Linked DNA regions of Schizosaccharomyces pombe. The gene in region 1 interacts genetically with each later gene. Each region holds a gene or a part of one and is shown in the gene's direction. Other genes may lie near its edges. The genes, in order: ssb3, rfc3, rad54 and dcd1.

The links.
Region 2: mutations in ssb3 (region 1) and rfc3 impair growth when combined (synthetic growth defect), as found in Schizosaccharomyces pombe (one study listed by BioGRID).
Region 3: mutations in ssb3 (region 1) and rad54 impair growth when combined (synthetic growth defect), as found in Schizosaccharomyces pombe (one study listed by BioGRID).
Region 4: mutations in ssb3 (region 1) and dcd1 impair growth when combined (synthetic growth defect), as found in Schizosaccharomyces pombe (one study listed by BioGRID).

What each region holds. Positions count from the first base shown.
Region 1 is NC_003421.2:1,279,711-1,286,520, reverse strand, and holds ssb3 (DNA replication factor A subunit Ssb3), read left to right. Parts: upstream 1-4,119; 5' UTR 4,120-4,156; coding exon 4,157-4,303; intron 4,304-4,366; coding exon 4,367-4,469; intron 4,470-4,570; coding exon 4,571-4,635; downstream 4,636-6,810. Other genes in the region: pxd1 (protein Pdx1), read right to left, coding at 1-171; rpm1 (3' ssRNA-specific 3'-to-5' exonuclease), read right to left, coding at 486-3,359; pdr16 (sec14 family protein), read left to right, coding at 5,622-6,810. UniProt on the Schizosaccharomyces pombe protein: As part of the replication protein A (RPA/RP-A), a single-stranded DNA-binding heterotrimeric complex, may play an essential role in DNA replication, recombination and repair.
Region 2 is NC_003424.3:4,032,012-4,039,900, reverse strand, and holds rfc3 (DNA replication factor C complex subunit Rfc3), read left to right. Parts: upstream 1-4,068; 5' UTR 4,069-4,118; coding exon 4,119-4,192; intron 4,193-4,357; coding exon 4,358-4,422; intron 4,423-4,471; coding exon 4,472-4,685; intron 4,686-4,736; coding exon 4,737-4,810; intron 4,811-4,951; coding exon 4,952-5,323; intron 5,324-5,384; coding exon 5,385-5,614; 3' UTR 5,615-5,756; downstream 5,757-7,889. Other genes in the region: prp12 (U2 snRNP-associated protein), read left to right, coding at 1-1,757; rps002 (40S ribosomal protein S0B), read left to right, coding at 2,315-3,178; phosphorelay sensor kinase Mak2, read right to left, coding at 5,855-7,889.
Region 3 is NC_003424.3:3,679,860-3,684,921, reverse strand, and holds rad54 (DNA repair protein), read left to right. Parts: upstream 1-1,656; 5' UTR 1,657-1,776; coding exon 1,777-4,335; 3' UTR 4,336-4,562; downstream 4,563-5,062. Other genes in the region: EF-1 alpha-binding zinc finger protein Zpr1, read left to right, coding at 1-1,200. UniProt on the Schizosaccharomyces pombe protein: Plays an essential role in homologous recombination (HR) which is a major pathway for repairing DNA double-strand breaks (DSBs), single-stranded DNA (ssDNA) gaps, and stalled or collapsed replication forks.
Region 4 is NC_003423.3:3,456,462-3,462,087, reverse strand, and holds dcd1 (deoxycytidylate deaminase), read left to right. Parts: upstream 1-1,768; 5' UTR 1,769-1,853; coding exon 1,854-2,173; exon of another isoform or gene 2,174-2,321; intron 2,322-2,365; coding exon 2,366-2,854; intron 2,855-2,893; coding exon 2,894-2,946; intron 2,947-2,983; coding exon 2,984-3,090; 3' UTR 3,091-3,231; coding exon of another isoform or gene 3,232-4,923; 3' UTR 4,924-5,126; downstream 5,127-5,626. Other genes in the region: protein Csi1, read right to left, coding at 1-648; histidine--tRNA (His) ligase Hrs1, read right to left, coding at 3,232-4,923; myr1 (N-myristoyltransferase 1), read right to left, coding at 5,288-5,485, 5,529-5,626.

The sequences.
Region 1 (6,810 bases):
ATCCTTTTTCAGGAAAGAATGCAGCGTTTTCTGTCGCGGTGCTGCATGGACTTTCATCTGGTATCGAAACCGCTGAACCTTCTCTGCAAAACTTTGCGCAGCATCATTTTCTTCAACATTAACGTCGTTTAAATTTAAAGAGGGTGCTGTTTCACCTTTAGATTCAATCATTTTTCTTAACTTAGATTTTAAACAACGCAGCACACTTCGTCGATGGATTTATAAGCATCCAAAGACATTTGCTTCTTGTCTTACAAAAAATAGAAAAAGAAAATATATTTTAATCACAAGAGTCAAGGTTAACAAAGAGACTTCATAGTAAAACTACCTGTTGGTTTTTGAGATGAGTTTTGGCGAAACAGGTTACTATCAAATCCCAAAACATAATTTATTTATATCGTTAAGTCTCGGTAAATTGATAAAATGCAGGATTGAGTATTTAATTAAGTAAAATTATATCCATAAAAATAGTTTTAATAAGTTTGTTAGGTCGCTAAAGCAACTAATAGGATATTAGACTCCGGAAAGACATCCTTAATTGTAAATGCCTGGCGAGTATTTGCTAACCGGAATGCTTCGTCCGGGAGAATATCAATATGCGCTTTAACACCCAATTCTTCCAACATGACCTGAGGTGTTGAAAGTTCTGAAACCATTAAATATCCATGATAAATATTTTTTTGTACCTTTGGAAGTCTCTCTATATATTTTAAGGCCCAGAAACGATTAATGTATCTTCCTATAGTTTTAATTGATTTTTCTTTTTGGTTGTACAAATTTAGTTTTCCACGAAGAATACCATCAGGTATAGTATTTTTTGGAGTCTTTAATAATACCGACTGAATCTGATGATGAGTGAAGAAGTCGGTAAACCGGCGTAAAGGAGAGGTAGACTGAATATAGCCATCCTTTAGCCCCAAAGAAAAGTGGGAAACAGGTGTGGAGGCTAAATGTGAACTTTCAAATAAAGGCATTACAGAAAGTGAATACTTAGTTTCAACGAGTCCCCAAGATGACCTGTTACTTAACAAAGTTTCAAACGCTTTTCTTCGTACACCATCCATAATTGGATAAGGCTGGCCCCTAAAAATCCCAGGTAATTTATGTTCTTGAAAAAATAATGATGAAACCCGGCCAGCCAATATCATGCACTCTGATATTACTGATTCTGCCAAGCTATACCCTTCACTAACGTTCAAACTAATTGTAGGGAAGGAAGACCAGTATACTGGATGATTCAGATCACCAAGATTATAAGGGACATTATTAGGCAGCAATTCAACTGTCGGAGTGGGTTGTGCAATAACAAACGCAAACTTTTGTAACCTAGAAAAACAGGCTTGTTTCGAAAGTTCATATATTCTTAATATATCTTTCATGTGATCATTTGATACTCCTTTTGTTTCCTCATCCACTGGTCCAGAAACGATGTCTTTCGCAATTGATCGATTACTATGCAAAGCTTTATCCAGTTGTTGGGGTGTGTATTTGATAACTGAGGAAATGAAGCTAGGCCGAACCTTGTAATCAAGTATATCGCCATTTTTTGAAATTTTAGCACTAAAAGTTAATGCTCTTTGAGCTGTAGAAGATGAATCTAAACTCCAATATTTCTGAGTGATATTGAGAGGTAGCATATACACAATTTTGTTGGGATGATAAATAGTTTGAAAGTTCCTTTCAGCAAACGTGCCTAAAGGACTGCGAATGTCAACTGTACTCGTAGGATTAGCAACATGGATATGAAGCCAGGAATTAGACATCCCTAATTCTTCAACCGAAATCGCATCATCTATCTCTTTCGTAGAAGAACTATCAAAGGCGAACGCTTTAAGATGCCTTAAATCGACGCGTTGCGATTCAAGTGAATCTTTTAATTCATTTTTTACAAACTTTTTAAAGTGATTACACTCACGTTCATACACAGCATCTAACTGAGGATTAGTACCAAGGCCAGCAATGCTGTATTCCTGTTGAAACAACCTCGGGGGCTGCCATGAAGCCCACACGCCAATATCCGTTAAGAATTTAGCAAACTGATCACTAGTTAATCCCCTCTCGTGAGTTTGAAGGCCAACTTCTTTGTAAACCTGACACAAGTGTGTATTTGGTAAACTTTGAATACTTTTTGCAATCATTTCCTGAACAAGATACCGCAATAGTTTTTTTTCAAATTCAGTCCAAGTGACCTGTGAATAAACTACGGGTTTTATTTCTTCGGTGCTTATAGGTAACTTATATTTATCTCGGGAAACTTGAATTAAATGACGAGCTTTCTTTATAAACGAAAGATATGGTGTTGATTTCTGACGCAGGCATGCAACAACGTCGTCAAAAGAATCATTTTGTGAAGAGGGAAGGAAATAGACTTTTTGAATTTCGGAAAATATGTGATCGCTTATTAAAAAATGTTTGCTTTCTGTAAGCAAAAAGTGTAACAATGAGATTTTAGCATATGGGCTAGGCTTCGAAGTTTTGTACACAAATTTCAAAAGGTCTGAAAAAGAAGCTGAATTGTCAAGTTTATTTGGAATATTGAATTCTGTCAATATTCGCAAAAATTCATTTCGGTGACTTCGACTTAAATCTTGTGCTCTTTGAGAGATTTTTTTTAATAACTTTATAGTGAAAGGTAGGACATCAGAAGGAACAGAAACATCAGAAAGAGGTTGCTGCACCTCTTTCAGCTTTTTAAAGACATTAGGACATCTCAGTAAAACTCTAGATGTACGAAATTCCTTAATAGTACCGTTTTCGTTAATGCTGGTCAATACATTACTATAGTTCCAAACATTAGTACCAGTGCATGCAGCAAGTTCAATGCCTTCGGAGCCCCTATAAAACACTAGCAAATCTCCACGATCGTACTGTCTAAAATTCTCACTGCTGAAATCTTCTAAATCAAAAGAATACTCAAAATCATTTTCCAACTTCTCTTCCTCAGATTTTGTAGTAGTAGGACAAACAGCAGCGCGTTTGTCCTTCTCGAACTTGTCTTTCAACCACTGTCTAATGTTTCCATGATTTTCTAATTCAGAGAAAAATTTTTTAAGGTTTTCCTCATTCACGGATTTCAAATTAGCATTTTTAAATCGATCAATAAGATCTGATTGAGTATGCTTCAAACGCGCACCACAATGTCCCCAAAGATGATGATCGTTTGCTGGTTGTTTCCCGAAATTTATTAGGCATCCAGTTATGCGGAAATATTTCAAAACTTTTGAACTGGAAGGGCAAGCATGATGAAATTTCCTTGTAAGTTTACAAGGAGACAATTTTAAAGACAGGCATACACGTTTTAATAAATAATTAGACTCTAAATTAACATTTTGAAGAAGAAACAATTGCCTATAGTTCATGGGCAAAAACCCTATAATTAGTAACACCAAAAATAGTGTTGATGGTAAATTCGACTAGAGAGCTGAACCAGAGCACTTTTAGGTACTAGCAAGTATTAAGGTAACAAGCTCTGCAAATGTAAATGAAGAGTGGTTTAATAACTAATGTAACAGAAGAAAGATTTCAATATGAGTATGGAGTTTTTTGATTTTTTTTTTTTTGAATTGAATGGTCGAGGGGATGGGCGACTTCAAAGTGAAATACATGAAATCACAACCTCAAGGTAAAACTAATTGAAAAATTATATCATTAAAAGAAGGCTGCTTTCCATCAATTACATTTACTTTTAATTATTGAAGCTTCTGGTCTACGCCTAAGCAATTTACTAATAGTGGTATTGGAAAAGAGAGAAAATTAAGAGTCGCCGACGATTTCAAAAATAGTATAAAATACCATGAAATCTTTCCATAATGTTATTTAAATCACTATATGTAAGACGTATTTATATTGGTCTTTAACCCGTTTATTTACAACATTTCAACCAATTAATAAGTAGTGAAATTAACGCAGAAGGATACAAGGAGATTTTTTTATGAATAATTCTTATAAAAAATAGAACAGTAATGTATCAACGTTAGCCCCCAGCGTTTATATTTACGCTTTTGCTTTTTTATTTACATCCCAGCGCCTTCCAACATATAATACATAACGTACTGCGTTCCAATATTTTAAATAATTCGTGTCAACAAGTAGTTAACTACCTGGTCTGATACATACTTCACTTCCACCACTTTATAAACAACGCGTATAAAATAATATGGAACGCCCTACACCTCGAGTTACGAAAGATATGCTACCAGAATGCTCTGGAAAAACGGTTCGGATTGTTGGCAAGGCGAATCAAGTTGAAGGTGAAACTGCAAAAGTCGATTCCAACGGTTCTTTCGATATGCACCTCACTGTGGTACGTTTTATCTATTTTACAATCGGTTTTCAGAGTTTTTTTATTTTATCTAACTAATTTTAGGATAACACTCTTGAACCCAATCATTTCTATGAATTTGTCGTTTCTGTCAAACCAGATTCTTCGGTGCAGCTTTTAACCTGTGTTGATTTTGGCACTGATATTGGTAAGTTGTGTTTATAAAAATAATAAGGAAGTCCTTTGAACTTCTGCTTCTGCTAAGTCCTACATTCTATTGACCGATTAACTAATTTCCTGTTCCTTTAGATATGGAGGTATACCAGAAACTCGTTCTATTCAGTCATAAGTATAACTCACTTTTTTTTGAATAAGAAACATTTTATGGATCATACAACACAGATTTCTCTTTCATTTCTCATGCACAGTACAAATAAACATGGAAGAATAAACGCGCAGAATCTTGCTTCCTTCTTTTGGTTTTTGCATATTTTATTGCATTTCTAAACTCAAGCTTTTCTTTTATAATGATTCTTCCTTTTGGCTAATACAAATATGAATTTTACTATCGTTTATTTCACTTTTTTTGATTCTTGTTTGAGTATTTTTATATAACGTTCTCCTTTTTTCGCACTATCTTATTTAGTGTATCCTTGAGATGCTCATCGCGGACGATTCGGCTCCGAAGACGGTACATACCGGTGTTTCTTACGTTTGCTCATCCTTCAGTCACCCTGCCATTGTAACAATCCAACTACCATATATATACAAAGCGAGCAACGCAAGTATATCTAGTGGTACTACGCTGAATATCGCTTATTCCTAAAGAAAATTGGTTGTTTTGAGAATTATTATATTACTTTTTCCTTTACAAACTTTTTTGCTAAAACTGTTGTTTAGCAGTTATTGAGATTGTTAGAGAAATAACGTTAGAAAACGTGCATATGCAGAAGTTGGATTGTTTCGGAATTGCTCCGATTGAAATACTCTAAATATATCTGACATTTGTTCTTTGCATTTCTGTCTGCGCCTTATCTTTAGAGATCAGACACGTTTCTTTGAATATAATCTAACTTGCTTGCATGTTAAATTGGTCGAAACAGAGATAAAAGATATCCTGGAATTCATGGTAAACCATCGAGATCTCTTACTAAAAATAGAGAAAAAAGAAAAGAGTTAAGTATTTCGAACCCTATAGTAATTTAAGTCTTGGGAAAATACCTTTTTTCATTTAATTCCATTATTTCTAATTTCCTTTGATATTTCTTCTTTTACGGTGAAAAGAATACCCTTTGCAATCTAAACTGTTAATAGTTTATTCAAAACCAACATTCGTTAATTTTATCGATACAAAACCACGATGAAAGATTCGGAACATCACCATCATGGCCACAACGGCTTTAGTAAGTTTCTCCATAAACTTGGTTTTGGCAAGTCAAAAGGAAAATCGCATAAAAGCAATACCAGCAGTATTCATGAAAGAGAAAATACTGCTGCCAAAGGACCCGCCTCTAATGTGCGTCCTGCTCGCCCTAATGTTAGCACATCTTCCACTTCGAACGAGGTCAGAAAATCTGTACCTGTTGGTAATCCTACTGTACATACCAAAACAGGGTCTTCTTCATCTCCTGCCTCAAAGATGAGAAATACAGTCAACTTGCAGCATATTCAAGCAGCTAACCAAAAAACTCGTAATGCTGAAGGTGAAAGAAAGGTCGCTCAACGCAGGGTCCAATCTGATAAAGCTGAAGCTAATGATGCAGCCATGAGTAGTTCAGCTCCAACGGTAGATGTTTCCGAAGGTAATTCTGCCGCTGAACCAAAAATTACACCCGATGATTCAGATACACCCAGACTTAATGTAGATATGAATGATAAAATAAATGTCGATGAAGCTGCTGCTAAATCTGATAGCAAACTTAATGTCGATCAGATTAATTCTACTACGGAATCTGAAAAAAGAGTTGAGAAAGTTAATCCAAATATTGCGAATAATCCGCTAAAATCACCGGATGCAGTAGCATATAGCAGTGAGACGGTTTCTGATGAAAAACAACCTACTGAGCATCCTGTATCTGCTAATGTCCCTGCAAAATCTGAAAAAGCTGTTTGTGATGAAAATACCAAAATTTCGCTTACAAACACAGAGCATTACAAGTTTCATTCACTTCGCGGAGACGTTGAAGTTGTTGTTGGTGATTTGGAACGTGACGGAAGAGATACCTCTTTAGGCGATGCTTCGGTAAATGAAGCCGCTAAAGAAACTGACGTCGACTCTAGTCGTTTTATTTCAGATGAAAAAGCCGTGACTGAGGATGCGATGAAAACTGAACATGCCTCCAATGCCCCTCTCACTGATGAAAGGCATTTTCAGTTCCATTCTTCTGAAGGAGACATTGAAGGAATCGTTGGGACAATGCAGCGCCAAAGACAATCTGTCTCTTCGTATGACACTATCGTTCCTAGCCAATTCTATAAACAGAAGGTGGTGCAAAATAGCCCCCCAAGCTTGTTGAGCACTGATAACAAAATTCCAGAATCCGGCTCAG
Region 2 (7,889 bases), on another chromosome or scaffold:
CCGTACAAGAAGGATCAAGAAGAAGTAATTTTATGTGCTTAGCATGTGACGATGCTACGGTGAGGGTGTTGTCTCTCGATTTGTACACAACCTTAGAAAATTTGAGTGTACAAGCCCTTAGTTCTCCTGCCAATTCTTTATGCATAATTCCGATGAACGTAAATGGTGTGAGTACTCTCTATTTACATATAGGTTTAATGAATGGTGTCTATTTACGAACTGTTATCGACGTTACATCCGGGCAACTTTTGGATACAAGGACTAGATTCTTGGGTCCACGAGCTGTCAAGATCTATCCAATAACCATGAAAAATCAAAATACGGTGTTGGCGGTGTCTTCTCGTACCTTCCTTGCATATAGTTATCAACAAAACTTGCAACTATCACCAATCGCTTATTCTGCAATTGATCATGCTTCATCTTTTGCAAGCGAACAGTGTCCAGAAGGTATTGTAGCGATTCAAAAAAATACTTTAAAAATTTTCACAGTCGATAGTCTGCAAGATGACTTAAAATCTGATATTTATCCGTTAATTTGTACCCCTCGAAAAATCGTTAAACATCCCAACTTTCCAGTTTTGTACATTTTGCAAAGTGAAAGGAACTTTGACTCATTTAAATATGCTCAAGAGAATGGAGATGTGGGTTCTTCGTATACGAAGGAGAAGCAAAATGAACACACATCAAAATCTTGGGTGTCATTTATATCTGTATTTGATATGATATCTAAAAAAATAATCCATGAAAGTCCGCTGGGCGATAACGAAGCTGCTTTTAGTATGACAGCCGCTTTTTTCAAAAATAGAGATGAATTCTTTTTGGTAGCTGGTTCTGCCACTAATATGGATCTTGAATGTCGAACCTGTTCTCATGGAAACTTTCGAGTATACCGGTTCCACGATGAAGGTAAAAAGCTTGAGTTAATCAGCCATACGGAAATCGATGGAATTCCTATGGCTTTAACTCCCTTTCAGGGACGTATGCTAGCTGGAGTTGGACGCTTTTTACGAATTTATGATTTAGGAAACAAAAAAATGCTTCGTAAAGGTGAGTTGTCTGCTGTACCACTATTTATTACACATATTACAGTTCAAGCTAGTAGGATAGTGGTTGCAGATTCGCAATACTCAGTTAGATTCGTTGTCTATAAACCTGAGGATAATCACCTACTAACTTTTGCTGATGATACTATTCATCGGTGGACTACTACAAATGTCCTTGTCGATTATGATACTTTAGCAGGGGGGGATAAATTTGGTAATATTTGGCTTTTACGCTGCCCCGAACATGTTTCTAAACTAGCTGATGAAGAGAATTCTGAATCTAAATTAATTCACGAAAAGCCCTTTTTAAATTCCACACCTCACAAATTGGACCTAATGGCTCATTTCTTTACAAATGATATTCCTACTTCGCTTCAAAAGGTCCAATTGGTTGAAGGAGCTCGAGAAGTTTTGTTATGGACCGGTCTTCTGGGTACTGTTGGAGTATTTACCCCTTTTATTAACCAGGAAGATGTTCGATTTTTTCAACAACTGGAATTTTTGTTGCGAAAAGAATGTCCTCCTTTGGCTGGAAGGGATCATCTTGCTTATCGTAGTTATTACGCTCCAGTCAAATGTGTTATAGATGGTGATCTCTGCGAGATGTACTATTCGTTACCTCATCCAGTTCAGGAGATGATTGCCAATGAACTCGATAGAACAATTGCAGAGGTTTCAAAAAAAATAGAAGATTTTCGTGTTCGTAGTTTTTAAACAAATAGCTTACAAATCCGTGAACTTTGACGAAGAAGATTTATAAAGGGCATCTCTTTATGCCTATCCTTCTTGAAAAACAAAAGTTTCTTGATGTCGACTCTTCAATGTTTGGCAGCTTTTTAATATAATTATACGTCTTATGTCGATAGCAATTTCTTCCATCTAGTGTTTTTAATAAAGAAGCAATTATTAATCCTTTCTCTGGTAAGACCATTCGATTTCAAAGTAAGTTTGGAAATAGGGGTAATTATAAAAAAAAATATAAAAGTTTAGTACTAAAATAAATAAATAATGACTGTTATACAGAGTTCCCATGAAAGGATTTTCTGTAAATGCCTACCAAAATAAAGCATACTATAAGTTGGAAAACAGCTATTACTGTAAATCTTTTGTTTACGAATTAACGATGGGTTACAATTCCTTAATCTTCTTTAACCTCAGCTTAGAACTCTGTAAAAAAAGTTTTGACCGAAAAAGCAGTCACTAAATTATCAACACTATGGCAAAGGTGAAATTGGAATTTCTTCCAACCACCAAGAGGTGCACGCAACAAAATGGCAGAATCCATAGCCCGTCCATCAGTTCTCAACGCTACTGATGATGATATCAAGAATCTCTTAGCCGCCGACTCCCACATCGGCTCCAAAAACTTGGAAGTCCGCATGGAGAACTATGTATGGAAGCGTCGTTCTGATGGTATCCACATTATCAACTTAGGCAAGACTTGGGAAAAGCTTGTTCTTGCTGCTCGTGTAATTGCTACCATTGAGAACCCAGCTGATGTTTGTGTTATTTCTAGCCGGCCATATGGACACCGTGCTGTCTTGAAGTTCGCTGCCCACACTGGTGCTACTGCCATTGCTGGCCGTTTCACTCCCGGTAACTTCACCAACTACATCACTCGTACTTACCGTGAACCTCGCCTTATTATTGTTACTGATCCTCGTGCTGATGCTCAAGCTATCAAGGAAGCTTCCTTCGTCAACATTCCAGTTATTGCCTTGTGTGATACTGACTCCATTTTGAACCATGTTGATGTTGCTATTCCTATCAACAACAAGGGTTACAAGTCCATTGGTTTGGCCTGGTATCTTTTGGCTCGTGAAGTCCTTCGTCTTCGTGGTAACATTTCTCGCACCACCGCTTGGGAAGTCATGCCTGATCTTTACTTCTACCGTGATCCTGAAGAGATTGAGCGTGAAGAAGAACAAAAGGCTGCTGCTGCTGCTGCTGCCGAAGAAGAAGCTCAATTGGCTGCTCAAACTGCTGCTGCTGAGTTTGAAGTCACAGACAGTGCTGCTGGAACCGTTGACCCAACTATATTGGACAATGCTACTGCCGGTCAGGTTGGTCAAACTACTTGGGAAGGAGACGCTGAATGGAATATTACCGGTGCTGCCCCTTCTGAATGGGCTTAATTGTTTATTTCCCATTTCATGCAGCTAAAAAACCATATCTTTGAGATCACGTTATGCTAATAAATAAGAGCCATTCGTGCAGTACTTATAAGTAGGTGTGTTAAATTTCTGTTATAATTTTAAGCTTTGGTTGTAGTGCTGAAACAAGATTATTTTACAGTACAATGAATAGATTATCATTTGGATATTGAATCTTGTCGTAGTGGTAAATATAAAAGAAAATGAACTGAACAAACATCGTCTCATTAGCTGTGTTATTTGTAGAAACAGTGTAACCAACATTGAGTGTTGTGGATATTGTATGAAATCGGCGATGCGAATGTTAACTACCCATATATGTTTAAAAGTTAGATTCCCAATGTTGTTTTTAAAATTTTAGTTCATTATTGATTACAAATTATCAGTGAGTCTTTATTTTGACAAATTTCGAACAGATAAAGTATTGTCAATTCTTGAAAAAATCGTAGGTTTTGAATGTGAAGTACTAACTTTAGTGCTGTTCGTTTTCTGATTAGCAATCCTTAGAACATCACTAATATGTACAACTCAGTACTAATCAAATTTCTTGAAACTTTTAAACACTTATATGTAGACTATTCTTCTCTTCGCCCAGTACAACTGTTCAGACTCCGAACCTTCGATGTCAAGCATTCATACAAACAATTGAAGCATTTTTCTAGACAGATAAAGGAGGTATTAACGTGTTTATTCAATTTTAAGTGTCCACCGTACATTGTATGAAAATCGTATTTAGCAAACTTTTAAGTGATAAAACTTGAATAGATATATAGAATCAGAAACATAATTACATTTAAATGTTATCTTCATAAAACTATCTGAAAGTAGTGTTTATGCGAGGATATTTAGTCAACCCAATGTAACTGACCTCTAGCATCTACATCTACTGTGCAATCAGTCCTCAAACCTGCAGTCTTCCAGCATGTCTATCGAAAAAGGTAAAGGGCGTGCAATGGACATTGACCTTCCTTTGGGAAGTGAGAGTACGCTCCCATGGTAAGCTAATTACAGTGATTCTGGTTACTTTGTTTTTGCACGATATTTACATTCGCGCAAAACTCGTCATGCCATTCAAAATTACAAATTTGAGGTCTTTTGTGTCTAAATATTTACTTGCCGATTTACCTTTTTTAAGTTCCTTTATATCTTGTTAACATTTAGGGTGGAAAAGTACCGACCAGCTAATTTAGAGGATGTGGTTTCTCACAAAGATATCATATCTACGCGTAAGATTGACCATCACTTTTTTCTGTCTTTTCTAATCAAATAAATAAGTTGAAAAATTCATTAGTTCAAATAGAGTCCCTCATATGCTGTTTTATGGGCCACCTGGCACAGGCAAAACCTCTACAATTCTTGCGTGTGCTCGAAAAATTTATGGACCAAATTACAGAAATCAGTTGATGGAGTTAAATGCAAGCGATGATCGTGGTATCGATGCCGTGAGGGAACAAATCAAAAATTTTGCCAGCACCCGGCAAATCTTTGCGTATGTCGTTGATGATATTTAGTTCCAACATATGTTTGACTAACAATTTAGATCTACTTTCAAAATGATTATATTAGATGAAGCCGATGCCATGACTTTGGCGGCTCAAAATGCTTTACGAAGAGGTAAGCCATTTTTTAAACAAAGTGTGGAAGATAAAGTAAAAGAAATACTCTATAATCTTTCCGCTTTTCTAATTCCTCGTTGTTAATCCCTTCCTTTTTCCCGTTAATTTCTTTTTTCCAAGCTAACCAGTTACTAATCAGTAATTGAAAAATATACTAAGAACGTTCGTTTTTGCATTATCTGTAACTATATCAACAAAATATCTCCTGCTATTCAATCTAGATGTACCAGGTTTCGCTTCCAGCCTTTACCGCCCAAAGAGATAGAAAAAACGGTTGATCATGTTATTCAAAGCGAACATTGTAATATTGACCCTGATGCAAAGATGGCCGTATTAAGGCTTTCCAAAGGAGATATGAGGAAAGCACTGAATATACTCCAGGCGTGCCATGCTGCCTACGATCATATTGATGTATCTGCTATCTATAATTGTGTAGGCCATCCTCACCCTTCCGATATTGATTATTTTTTGAAATCTATCATGAATGATGAATTCGTAATCGCTTTCAATAGTAAGTCATTCATTAAACTCTTCTTCACTTTTAGGATTTTTTCTAACTTTGTTTATTACAGCCATTAGCTCAATCAAACAGCAAAAGGGTTTGGCCTTGCAAGACATTTTGACATGTATCTTTGAAGCACTAGACGAGCTTGAAATAAAACCAAATGCTAAAATTTTTATTCTGGATCAGCTTGCAACGATTGAACATCGAATGTCTTTTGGATGTTCTGAAAAAATACAGCTTTCAGCAATGATAGCGAGCATTAAAACTGGTGTTGATTTAGCAGCAAAGGTAAATTGAGTTGTGAACTAATTCAGAAAATCATTAATGTCGACTTTGTTTTCAACTCTAAAGTAAATATTTCATATTGACTATTTCTATCAAAAAAAAATTCTAGTCCTATTTAGAAACTTAAACAATATAAATTGTTAAAAACTCAAAAAGCAGGAACTGATAATGTACAAATAATGAAAAGAAACTAAAAAATAAAGGTAAAAGTACCTAATTATTGGAATAGCACTTCTCAGTTATACTTTAGGTTCAACGAGCACTCTTCTCCAAAAGCACAAATTCGCGAACGGCATTGACTAATTGTTTTTGAGTAAATGGTTTGGTCAAATAAAAATTCATTCCAACCTCTAAGCATCGCTGTTTTGCAGATTTCTGTATATCAGCTGTTAAAGCAATGACTGGGATTGGAGTTGAGCAATTATTTTCACGTTCGTAAGCACGGATATCCATAACTGCTTCTGCACCATCTCGGATGGGCATATGGTAATCAGCAAATATTACACTATAAAAACCAAATTGTTTAGCCTCATACATTTTAACCAATTCAACGCCATCTACCGCGGCATGAACTTGGAATCCTAAATTGCTTAATTGTTTCGTGAGCAACTTTCTAGCAATCAAATTATCTTCAGCTATTAGCGCATACTTTTTCTGAAGAATCTCCTTCTCTTCGCTAGAAAGAACAACTGCTTGATCGACCTTCCTAGGTGATGCTCGAAATTGAGAGGGCTCGACAAGTTTGGTAGGAGTTGACCATTTACTTAGTAATGCGGGAAAGTTTTGTAGTAACTTTGAAATGCGTATTGGCTCCCTGAAGCAAAATATTCTGCTTTGGTTTTTATTTAAAGAGGTTATGAATGGATCGCCGTCAGATCGTACTTTCGTTCGTTGAATCGACGGTAACAGAACAATAAGTAATACCTTGTTCAATTTTTGATTACTAAGTATCTGAGTAATTATTTGTTCCGTCTGGCCGCTGGCAGCTTCGATACAAAGAAAGTCATAAGGTTGTCGCTTATCTAAAGAATCAATTAACTGCTGTTCGATATCACTGTAAATAGTAGTTGTATCAACTACAGCTAAGGAGAAAAGAGACCTGAAAATAGATCGTGATGTAGTAAATGATTTAACTACAAGTATTTTAGCATTCTTAAGAGATTGTCGAATATTAGCAAATCTCTCATGGCTTTCTTCGAAATGTTTCTGAGATAACTTAGAAGTAACGTTACGCAATTGGACATGGAACCAGAATGTAGAACCTTCTCCATAAACAGACTGAACACCGATGTCTCCATCCATTATTTTGCATATTTGAAGGCAAATAGAGAGCCCAAGGCCTGAACCTCCATAGATTCTAGTAGTGCTACCATCGACTTGAGTGAAAGGATTAAAAAGCAGTTTAAGTTGCTCTTCTTTAAGTCCAATTCCAGTGTCCTCAATCTCAAATCTCAATTTGCATTGATTTTCTTCTGCATTTATTTCCTCATCAATAGCCATACAACGTAACAAAATATGACCCTCCGTTGTAAACTTTACGGAATTTCCAAGGAGATTGGTAATAACTTGTCGAAGCTTTGCAGAATCACCAGCCAATAAAGCTGGAACATTCGGATATATGTCGTATGAAATTTGAACAGGTTTAGAAGAAAGAGAAGGGTATACTAACTCAATGCAATCTGCAATATTCTCTTCAACATCAAAGACTTTGTCAGGCTCAAGTTTCATTTTGCCTGACTTCAATTCGCTGAAGTTCAATAGATCATCTATAATTTGGACCAACGATGTGCAACTCTGTTTAGCAGTGCTAACTATGTCATACTGCTCTTCATTTAATTTGGTATCACTAAGCAGAGAAAGCATCCCATAAAAACTCGAAAACGGAGTTCTCAGTTCATGAGACATATTGGCAAGAAAATTAGTTTTTAGATTGACAGCATGCATTGCAGCTTCACGAGCTTCCTTTTCATCATTAATATCTATACAAACAACTATCCACTTTTTAGCATTAGCATCTTCTTTAAATGACAATCCACGACACAAATGCCAATGGTAATTTCCATCTTCCATTCGTAGAAGCAATTCAATGTCGCCAAGCTCTAGAGTTTTAAGGTTCAATAATTTTTCTTGAAATTGGTGATGATGGTCCGGGTGTATGAATGTTTTCCAACTGAGTGAATCATGACAATCTTCGGGAACACCAAAATAATTCCGTTTCGACGCATTAGTGTACTCTATTTCGCCAATGTCGGAATCTAGCGTCCAAACTATACAAGGTAGTGAGTCT
Region 3 (5,062 bases), on another chromosome or scaffold:
GTTTTAATGTCGTTTGAATGTCCTCATTGTGGGTTTAAGAATGCGCAAGTTCAACACGCTGAGACAATTCAACCGGAAGGAAGCAAAATTACTTTCCATGTTGAGGATAAGGAAGATTTAAATCGGACAGTTGTAAAGAGCCAGGAGGCTATTGTCAGTATTCCTGAAATTCAGCTAGAAATCCCGGGAAGGTTAGGCCAGTTAACTACCATTGAGGGGATTCTGAGTAATGTGGTGGATGATTTAAGTAAAGAACAAGAATCTCGTAAGGAGTCTGCTCCTCAGTTATATGACCAAATAAATGCTTTCATTGAGAAAGTGAATAGTCTACGTTCTGGATCTGTACCATTTACCATCACAGTTGACGATATTACGGGCAACAGCTGGATCGAGATGAAACCTGGCCGAGATGGTGACCGATGGTCTCAGGTTAGCTACAAGCGTACTTTGGAGCAGAATACGAAGCTGGGTCTTGTGGATACTGATCAACCTGAAGACGTCAAGACACAAACAAACAACGCTTCTAATACACTTAAACATGATGCTACTGCTGTGGAAGTCGATCCCAATGAGGTACATACCTTCCATGCAACTTGTCCCTCTTGTTCACATCAATGTGACACCCACATGAAGTTGCTTGATATTCCCCATTTCAAAGAAGTTATTATCATGTCTACTGTTTGTGATCGTTGTGGATATCGTTCCAACGAAGTAAAAACTGGTGGTGAAATTCCACCCAAAGGTCGAAAAATTACTTTAAAGGTCATGGATGCCGAGGACTTATCCCGTGATATTCTCAAATCTGAAACCGCATCTCTTAAAATTCCTGAACTTGGACTTGATTTGTTCCCAGGTACTTTGGGTGGACGATTCACAACCATTGAAGGTCTTCTAGCTCAAGTTTATGATGAGTTATATGGCCGTGTGTTTTCTCAGGAGACCGATTCTATGACTCCTGAGCAAGTCGCTAACTGGCAACAATTTCTCTGCAACTTGACGGCTGCACGTGAGGGTGCTACTCAATTCACTCTTATTTTAGATGATCCTCTTTCACAAAGTTATCTGCAGAATTATTACGCTCCCGATCCAGATCCAAATATGACTATTGAGGAGTATGAACGTTCATTCCAAGTAAATGAGGAATTGGGTCTGAACGATATGAAGACAGAAAACTATGAAAAGGATGGAGGTAAGAAGTAAAGTTCGAGGTTTTTGTCAAATGTTAGGGAATGTATTTAATATAGTAATACTATGTTTTTTTGGGGGGTTTATTGACTATGAAGATATAATAGTATAGTAGATTAGCTAATTTTTATTTCCCGTAATGTTTTTGTTAGAGACTGATGCTTTATTATTTTACTTTTAGTTTAAAATAGTTACTTGATTTATCGCAAATGTTATGAGGCTAATAATTCGAAGTATTAGTAAACCATAAAATTTGCTACAAGAAATGTTAGATAGTGAAGCTAAAATTATTACCAATAACAAACTTGTAACACATATTTAGCCGATACCAGAAATAATTGATTCATATTTCACAATTTCATTATTTGTATACCATGTTTAGTGAAGGGTAACAATGGTGCGTAATTTAAAGAACGCGACACGCTATAATAGTAATAGAATTTAATTTATATATACATCTAGATATTTCTCAACACATACCATTGGTATAAACAGCACTTTCCTTTTTTTTTTGTTTGAATCCTTATCCCTCTTTTCCTACCCTTTCTTCTATTTCAGTAATCTCTTTTTTAATAATTGCTAATATATTTAATGATTCAGCAACCAACAACTGCTAAACCTAGAATTTCTACTTCTTCAAAGTTAAATACTGTTTTATCAAAAAACAAAGAGAATGTTCCTGGAAAGTTGTTTAAAAAGTTTAAATGCCCTTCTTTAGTGATTTCAGAAAAGCGAAAAGAGCTTCCTTTACGCAAAAAGCCAAGAGTTAACTACAGCGAATATGGTTCTGTTGATGGGAAGTATGATTCAGCTTACGTATCTGAAAATGTGTCTGGGTTGGCAACCATCAAAGAAGCTAATCGATTAATACTAAATCATGAACGACGAGATCCCTCAACAGTCATTAAGAAACAGTTCTCTGTGCCTAAACCTATCAAGGGTCATGAAGATATATCTAAACTGTGTGCACATCGTCCACCTCCTACACTGGGAATGAAAAGGAAGGTGGATTTTATTCCTCGTCCCCTTTACGATCCTGCTGATGAATTTGCTATCGTTTTATATGATCCCACTACTGATGCAGATGAGATCATTCCTGATATAAAAGAGGTCTTAGCGGAAAAACGTAAAAAAGATGAATTGTTAAAAAATCGAAAAGGAAAGAAAGAAATTTCTGATAGTGAGCCTGAAAGTGACCATGATTCATGTGTCTCCACTGACACAGTGGCTAGCTGTTCTACCGAGCAAAGTCTCATAACCTCTAATACCTCAAAGCATAGAAGACCAAATAAAAGTTTGAAAGATCTACTAGGAATTCAGAAAGAAAAACCTCCACCTCCTCCTGTTGCTGTTGTCATTGATCCAAAACTTGCTCGTATTCTAAGACCTCATCAAATAGAAGGTGTCAAATTCTTGTACAAGTGTGTAACTGGAAGGATTGACCGTTGTGCAAATGGATGTATTATGGCAGATGAGATGGGACTTGGTAAGACACTTCAATGTATTGCTTTGTTATGGACCCTTTTAAAACAGTCTCCTCAGGCTGGAAAACCGACAATTGAAAAGGCAATTATAACTTGTCCTTCTTCTTTAGTCAAAAATTGGGCTAATGAACTTGTCAAATGGTTAGGAAAAGATGCTATTACTCCATTCATATTGGACGGTAAAAGCTCCAAACAGGAGTTAATCATGGCTTTGCAACAATGGGCATCCGTACATGGACGACAAGTCACACGTCCAGTGCTTATTGCCAGTTATGAAACCCTTAGAAGTTATGTTGAGCATCTCAACAACGCAGAAATTGGAATGCTTCTTTGTGACGAAGGTCATCGTCTTAAGAATAGTGATTCTTTGACTTTTACGGCATTAGACAAGCTAAACGTTCAAAGGCGTGTCATCCTTTCTGGTACCCCTATTCAAAATGATCTAAGCGAATACTTTTCGTTGTTAAATTTTGCGAATCCTGGGTTGTTAGGTTCAAGGCAAGAGTTCAGAAAAAATTATGAAATTCCAATTTTAAAAGGTCGTGATGCTGACGGAACAGAAAAAGATAAGGAGAATGGTGATGCTAAGTTAGCTGAGTTAGCCAAGATTGTCAATCGGTTTATTATTCGTCGTACGAATGATATTCTCTCCAAATATTTGCCTGTTAAATACGAACATGTTGTCTTTTGCAACCTTTCCGAATTTCAGCTTTCTTTGTACAAGCATTTTATTACCTCGCCTGAAATCAATAAAATCTTAAGGGGGACCGGCAGTCAACCACTAAAAGCTATAGGTCTGCTAAAAAAAATATGTAATCATCCTGATCTATTGAATTTAACTGAGGACTTGGAAGGTTGTGAGGCTCTATTCCCTCCAGGATTTATTCCCCGTGAGCTAAGAGGGCGCGATAGAAACATTGACTCCTCTTTATCAGGTAAAATGTTAGTGTTGGAACGAATGCTCTATCAAATAAAACAAGAGACAGACGATAAAATTGTTTTAATTAGCAATTACACCTCCACGCTTGACTTGTTTGAGCAGCTTTGTAGAGCTCGCGGTTACAAGGCTCTTCGGCTAGATGGTACTATGAATGTAAATAAACGACAACGTTTAGTTGACACATTCAATGACCCGGAAAAGGATGCTTTTGTGTTTTTATTATCTTCTAAAGCAGGTGGTTGTGGTATTAACCTTATTGGCGCTAATCGTCTTATTCTGTTTGATCCCGATTGGAATCCAGCCGCCGATCAACAAGCTTTAGCTCGAGTTTGGCGTGATGGGCAAAAGAAGGACTGCTTTGTTTACCGTTTCATAGCTACTGGAACCATCGAAGAAAAGATATTCCAAAGGCAGTCTCATAAGCAATCTTTGTCTTCTTGTGTTGTGGATGAAGCTCAAGATGTCGAAAGACATTTTTCGCTTGATAACTTAAGGCAGCTGTTTCAGCTTAACGATCACACAGTCTGTGAAACTCATGAAACATATAAATGTAAACGGTGTCGTGATGGAAAACAATTCATCCGAGCCCCAGCCATGTTATACGGTGATACTAGCACATGGAATCATTTTACAAATCCCACATTAGACCGAATAGAAGATCACTTGCTAAAACGTGAGGCAGGAAAACAGCAAGTGAGTACCGTTTTCCAATACAAATCTCATTAATTTTTACGTGTTTAATTACGCTGCTCTCTTCACAAATCCTCATATTTTCATTTAGTTTGATTTGTCTTTAAACTACTCTCACCTCTCTTTATCCCTGTTTGATTTGCTATTCGATGCATAAAACAATATCATGAATTTAATTCCGGTTTTTAAAATATAGTTTTTAATTTAATTAATATCCAACCCTCAATTGTATCCTACCAAACCTCAATTACTCCTTGGTAAGCTTTGTGACAAAATTATTACGAATTTACAGGTATGCTGAAATAAATTTTTTTTTTTAGAATGTTATATTCAATTGTTAAGAGCATATAATTTGTCATATTTTTCTGAAACATTTGAAATTGCATTTGTTAGTATTCGAACCCGTGACAGTTTTAGCACTGCTTTTCTATATTAAGATTGGGATGTCTCGAATTTTTGTTATTAACCATGTAGCTACTTTTAGGCAAACTGCATACATCTTATATGCTTTTTGTCACTCTAATAGCTTATATAAACATTGCTTATGTCTAAATACTTTGGACGTTCAAACTCGTGAATGTTCCAATATAGGTAGAAGCTTACATAACCAATTATTTATTTAAGGGTTGTTTCATTTGCAATCTTATATATTACTTCTAAATATTATATATGCATATTTACTTAACAAAAATAGTAACATTCAATAGTAGTTAGACCCGGATTATAAAGCCAATCGACAAATATCAAGTTTGCTGGCAACGGA
Region 4 (5,626 bases), on another chromosome or scaffold:
ACAATGAGAAATCCTTTCCTGCAGGCTTTGTAAATTTTCTTCAATACTTTTTAAACGCTCAACAAGGATGGAAAATTCAGGGTTCGTAAGCGAAGACTCATCATAACGATTATTGTGCGCTTTATTGTTGCTATCTTTCGAAATCGCTTTTAAGTTTGCTTCAAGGGAATTGAAATGAGAATCAGATAAGCTAGTAACACCTTCTAGCGATCTAGGAGCCGAATGAGATTTCGCGTCAGATTTTGGAGGTACAAATCGAAATCGCGGAGGGGGAGCGCTTGCAGGTGTTAAGTATGCCATGTCAAAAGAGTGATCTTGATTTAAATCTACCAATGGCTTAATTCGATCCTCATCTGAGATACGAATTTTAGATGCACTTAAGTGAGTAAAATTTTGTGATTGTGTACCAGCATTAGGTATTGACTCTTCATCTTTTTTTTGATCATTTAAAATATTTTTTCTTCGCTTAGGTGATAGGGAAGGCTCCTTCGATGGCCGTCGCTTTCGCTTTGAGGGTGAGTGATTCTTAACCACTGACTCACTAATTTGACCTTGTTGGCTTCGCTCCCATTCCAAATAATCGTTTTTTGTATCATTCCATAATTTCTTTAATTTTCCCAGCAGTCCAGCTGCAGGATTGAAACTCATCTCATGCCCAAATTATTTGGTGATTTAAATTCTAAATTCTTTGCAAACTGACTTCAATAATTATAGGAGTTACAAGATCGTGATTAACAATAATTTGCAACCAAAGGGTTATTAAACCTCAGGAAACTTGACAAAATTACGATCTTACCGAGCTCTACAGTACGGTCGTGAGTATTACCTAGTACACGTTAATGGCTTAATGCTTATTATGTAGTCTGTAATTAGCTTTAATGATACGTTAAATCACCAACAATCATCACTTATGTTGCTGTGAGCTCGATTATTAATTAAGTTGGTACGTGAAGTTAACCTTCTAACTTACTACTGAAGCTGCTCATAACTCAACCTCTTCCTCAGTCCAGTTGAGTTCTGTAGTGTTTTAATTTCCCGAAAACAAAAAAATTTTCCAATATCATTAAATAGGATGTTGAGAAAAAGAATATGTGCCACATATAAATATCATTGTTGAATTGCTGACTTGACAATTAATGCTAGGCCTACGATGCAATAGTAATCTAACCGTAAACATAATTTTACGAACGATTAGTATGTAATTACTGGACTTTTAGAAGAATTCTGAATATTCGCACATAAAAAATATTATTCGACAGATTCCATCGTTTCACATGAGTTTACATGAAATGCGCTCATTATCAAATTTGATGTGATGAACATTAATTAGATAAAAATGGTTTCATTGTTAGTTGAATGCGTTTGTTCCGAGTTTCTCCTTAACAATATACAGTTAATGATCTTATTGTTGTTGCTGTTGAAGTACACAGCACTTAAGTACAACTTTTGAGTGCTCTAAACTTTAGCGTGACCAGCAAAAGAGAGGTCAATACACTTAAAACCAAAAACGACTTTATTCGAATTCACTAAAAGGATTTTTTAGATTCTTGGTCCAGTACAGTGAAACGTAAAATCTGAAATATTCAAGGATTCGTGAAGATTTGGAAGCAAATAGTTTTTAATCTCATTAAATATATATTTTATTTTTTAAAAAGATTACAGATTATAGAAGCATAGTTTTACGAAATTGAAAGTTAGCATTTTCGCAACTCGTTGTTGGTATTGATAGTTAGTATCATTAGGTATGTGAGTACGTTAAAACCGATCTATCTCTAACTATTTGGGGAGATAATCAAACTGAAATACGTTTCTTAAGCTTAAGTAGCTTTGTTTGATTTATTAAGCAAATAAATATGCCAACTGTTGGTCTTACAGGGCCATTATGTAGTGGAAAAGATGCCGTTGTTGAATACCTTGAGACAAAGCATGGTTTCAATGCTATTTTTCGATTACCACAACTAAACGAGGATGGAGAATATATATATAGAACTGGCGATTTAGTCCTTGGCAGCGTTGACGATCTTATTAGCTATCTCACTCCAAGATGGCGCGAAAGATTTGTAATTAATGGAATTCATAGTCCACGTTTGTTAAGTGCATTGCTCAAACGTCCGTTCTTTTTGCTTGTATATATTGATGCCCCAATTATGCTCAGGTTCAATCGCTACAAAACGTATGTAATATTGCAATGTCAACATGTTGTTGCTAACTTTAAATTCATTGTCATTATTCTTCACGCAATGTGTTCAGTGTAAGGACCTTAATATCTTGTTAGTTTCATTCATTTCATGCTCGAAATTACACGGTTACATAAGCTCCTCATGATTAACTGAATATTGCGTGAAATAATAATGATGACATATAGTTATTCTTCTCTTGCGAATACCACACTTGAAGAATTTTGTAGTATCCAAGACGCGGCTGCATTTCAATCTGATAATGCTGGAACTCGACACCGAGCATTGGCTAATTTACTTATAAATAATGATAGCAATATTAAACTTCATCTATGGGAGAAGCTTCAAAAAGCCGATCTTTTGAATCCCAATAGATTTCGCCCATCATGGGATTCGTACTTTATGGAAATGGCAAGTCTGGCTGCGAAGCGTAGCAATTGTATGAAACGTCGCGTCGGTTGCGTACTTGTGCGAGGAAATCGTGTTATTGCGACAGGCTACAATGGAACACCTAGAGGAGCCACTAACTGTAATGAAGGCGGATGTCCACGTTGCAATTCTGCTTCTTCCTGTGGAAAAGAACTTGATACCTGTCTTTGTCTTCATGCCGAAGAAAACGCTCTTTTAGAGGCTGGCCGTGAACGCGTTGGAAACAATGCAATATTATACTGTGATACGTATGTAAATATAGACATAAAGCTACTAACAGTCGAAAGATGTCCCTGTCTTACGTGTTCTGTCAAGATTACTCAGCTTGGGATTAAAGAAGGTATGTTTCAGTTCTTTAATCTTTTACTAATGCTCAGTTGTCTATCATACGTCTTACAACATGGACTCCCATACCGCTTCTCTCCTTCAAGCCGCAGGAGTTCAATTACGACAATATATTCCTCCGGAAAACAGCATTTTCTAAGTTAATAACAGAACTTACTTTTTAGATTACCGCTCTTTTTGATTGCAGAAAATACGATTTTAATATCTTTATTTAATACTTACAATATTGATGAGATAACAATCAAATAATACAATAATTATTATTGAGCTATAGGAATATTTAATCGTATTTAAGTAACTTTTTCAAAACTGATACCATTTCCTCACGTGGCACAAGCTGACCTTCATCGCTATTTTCTTTTAAACCCATTTGTTTAATACGAACAGATCCCTTTGCAAACTCATCTTGACCCAAAATTACAGCAAAAGGTACGTCGAATTTATCGGCGGCGTCAAATTGTTGACGTGGTTTGGGTTTCACTTTGTAAAGAAATTCTGCTTTAATGCCATTTGCCCAAAGGTCTTTACAAACAGACATACGCTCTTTCAAAAAGCCGGTCCATTCTTTTCCACCTCCAAATGCCATAACGAAAACATCAACATCATTTGCACGGATATCCTCATCAGGAATTTTTGATCTAAGAATTGAAAAAATCCTCTCTAAACCAAGGCTAATGCCAACACAAGGGATTTTGGCGTTTTTCTTTGCAGCAAACATTCCAACTAAATTGTCATAACGTCCACCAGCAGCAATCGAACCAACGCCAATAGAGTCATCATTGGAACGATCTGCTTCAGGATCAGCAGATTTTTTCTTTTCCGCCGAACTCTTAATCTTTGGAGCAGAAGCCTCTGTTACTGCTTCGTAAATGATACCAGTATAATAATCGAGACCACGCGCTAGAGACATATCAAATGAAAACCTATCTAACACTCCAAAAGCTTCCAAATAATCAAATAAAAGACGCATGTCGTTAAATGCAGCAACAGCCGAGCTATTGCTTGATAGTAAACTATCGGCTTCAAGCTTATCTAAAAGAGAGCGGTCGCCTTTTAATAACACATACTCCTTAATTTTATCTGCCACCTCCTCTTTAAGTCCTTTTTCAACCACCATTTCACGTCTGACATCTTCCCAAGGGAGTTTATCTAGCTTGTCCACAGCACTGGAAATGGTACGAATTTTGTCATCCGGTACACCACAAACAGTAAAAATGCCATCCAAAATTTTTCGATGATTAAGCTTGATAGTATAATTTCCAACTTCTAATGCATCTAATGCTTCCACTAAAACCTTTAAAGCTTCAGAATCGGGAATCATAGGATCGTAGTTGCCAGCGATATCAAAATCGCATTGATAAAATTCACGCATACGGCCTTTTGTCATAGCTGGCTGATCTCTTCGATAAACCTTTGCAATATGGAATCGCTTAATACTCGTAACTTTGGGATTCATAGCTAACCAACGAGCAAATGGAACAGTCAAGTCGTATCTCAAAGAACAAAGCTCTCCACCTTGATCTTTCAAATCGTAAATTAGCTTGCTGTCTTCTCCATATTTTCCGGAAAGAATTTCTTTCAATTCGAACACTGGCGTATCGAGTGTTACACCACCATGACGCTTGAATATCTCTGTGACAGTTGAAAAAATGTGCTCACGTAAAACAACATCTTTGTCACACCAATCTTTAGTACCCTTCGGAGTTTTCAGTGTAAAAGATGTGTCTTTTTTCTTTCCTGATACTTCCGAACCCCCAAGTTTGAGGTTTTTCAGTTGAAGTAATTTAGCAACTTCTTTATCAATGTCCTCTTTAGAGGCGCCTTGACTTTTCAAAGATCGAACAAGATTTCCTTGTGAAGTTATTCTTTCATTTATATCTACTAGAGAATCAGCCATAGTTCTCAAGAAACGCCAATTTAAGAGGCTAGACGAAAATTTGGTGGTGAATAGGTTTTTGGTAAAAACAAACATGCACTAACTGAAAATGCAAATCTCAGTATTACATCCATTTAAATACATTTTACGGTGATTGAAGGACTAATGAAACCATTTGTCATGTTGATTAAATAACCAAGAAAAAAATATAGAACCTTGGATAATGAAACATTGAAAATTTTTTGGATTTTATGTTATGCAAACCAAGTGGGATAATTTCATTTGAAAATAAAAACTAGTTATTATATATTTTTTATAAATTTAAAAACCTAATATTTGTGAAATGACAAGTTCTATAAGTAAAAATTTAATATCAAAAAACCTTTTAAAATATGGACTTTTTTAAAATAGTAAAAACACTCAAAAAAATCAAAAATAATGTATTTTAATATTTTAGGATTTAAATCATTACAAAACCCATTCCACTAGGCCTCGAATAATCAACACTTTTAGAAGCATCGATTCCTCCAGGAATTTTTGGACAGTTATAATTATAGATGTAATAGTTCAAAAAACCGTCTCCTTCTCCAAATTTTAGGTCCTTCAAGAATAGATTGTTATCCAAAACCGTAACAGCATTGAATACATCAAAGTGGAACTGTTTTGAATTATTAGCAAGTAATAAAACCATATAAACTTACCTTTTTAGCCAATATAAGAGCATCATTAACTATCAATTTACAACGTTCAACGAATGCCAACTGTGATTCAGAAGATAAGTCTTTTGGACAAGAATCAG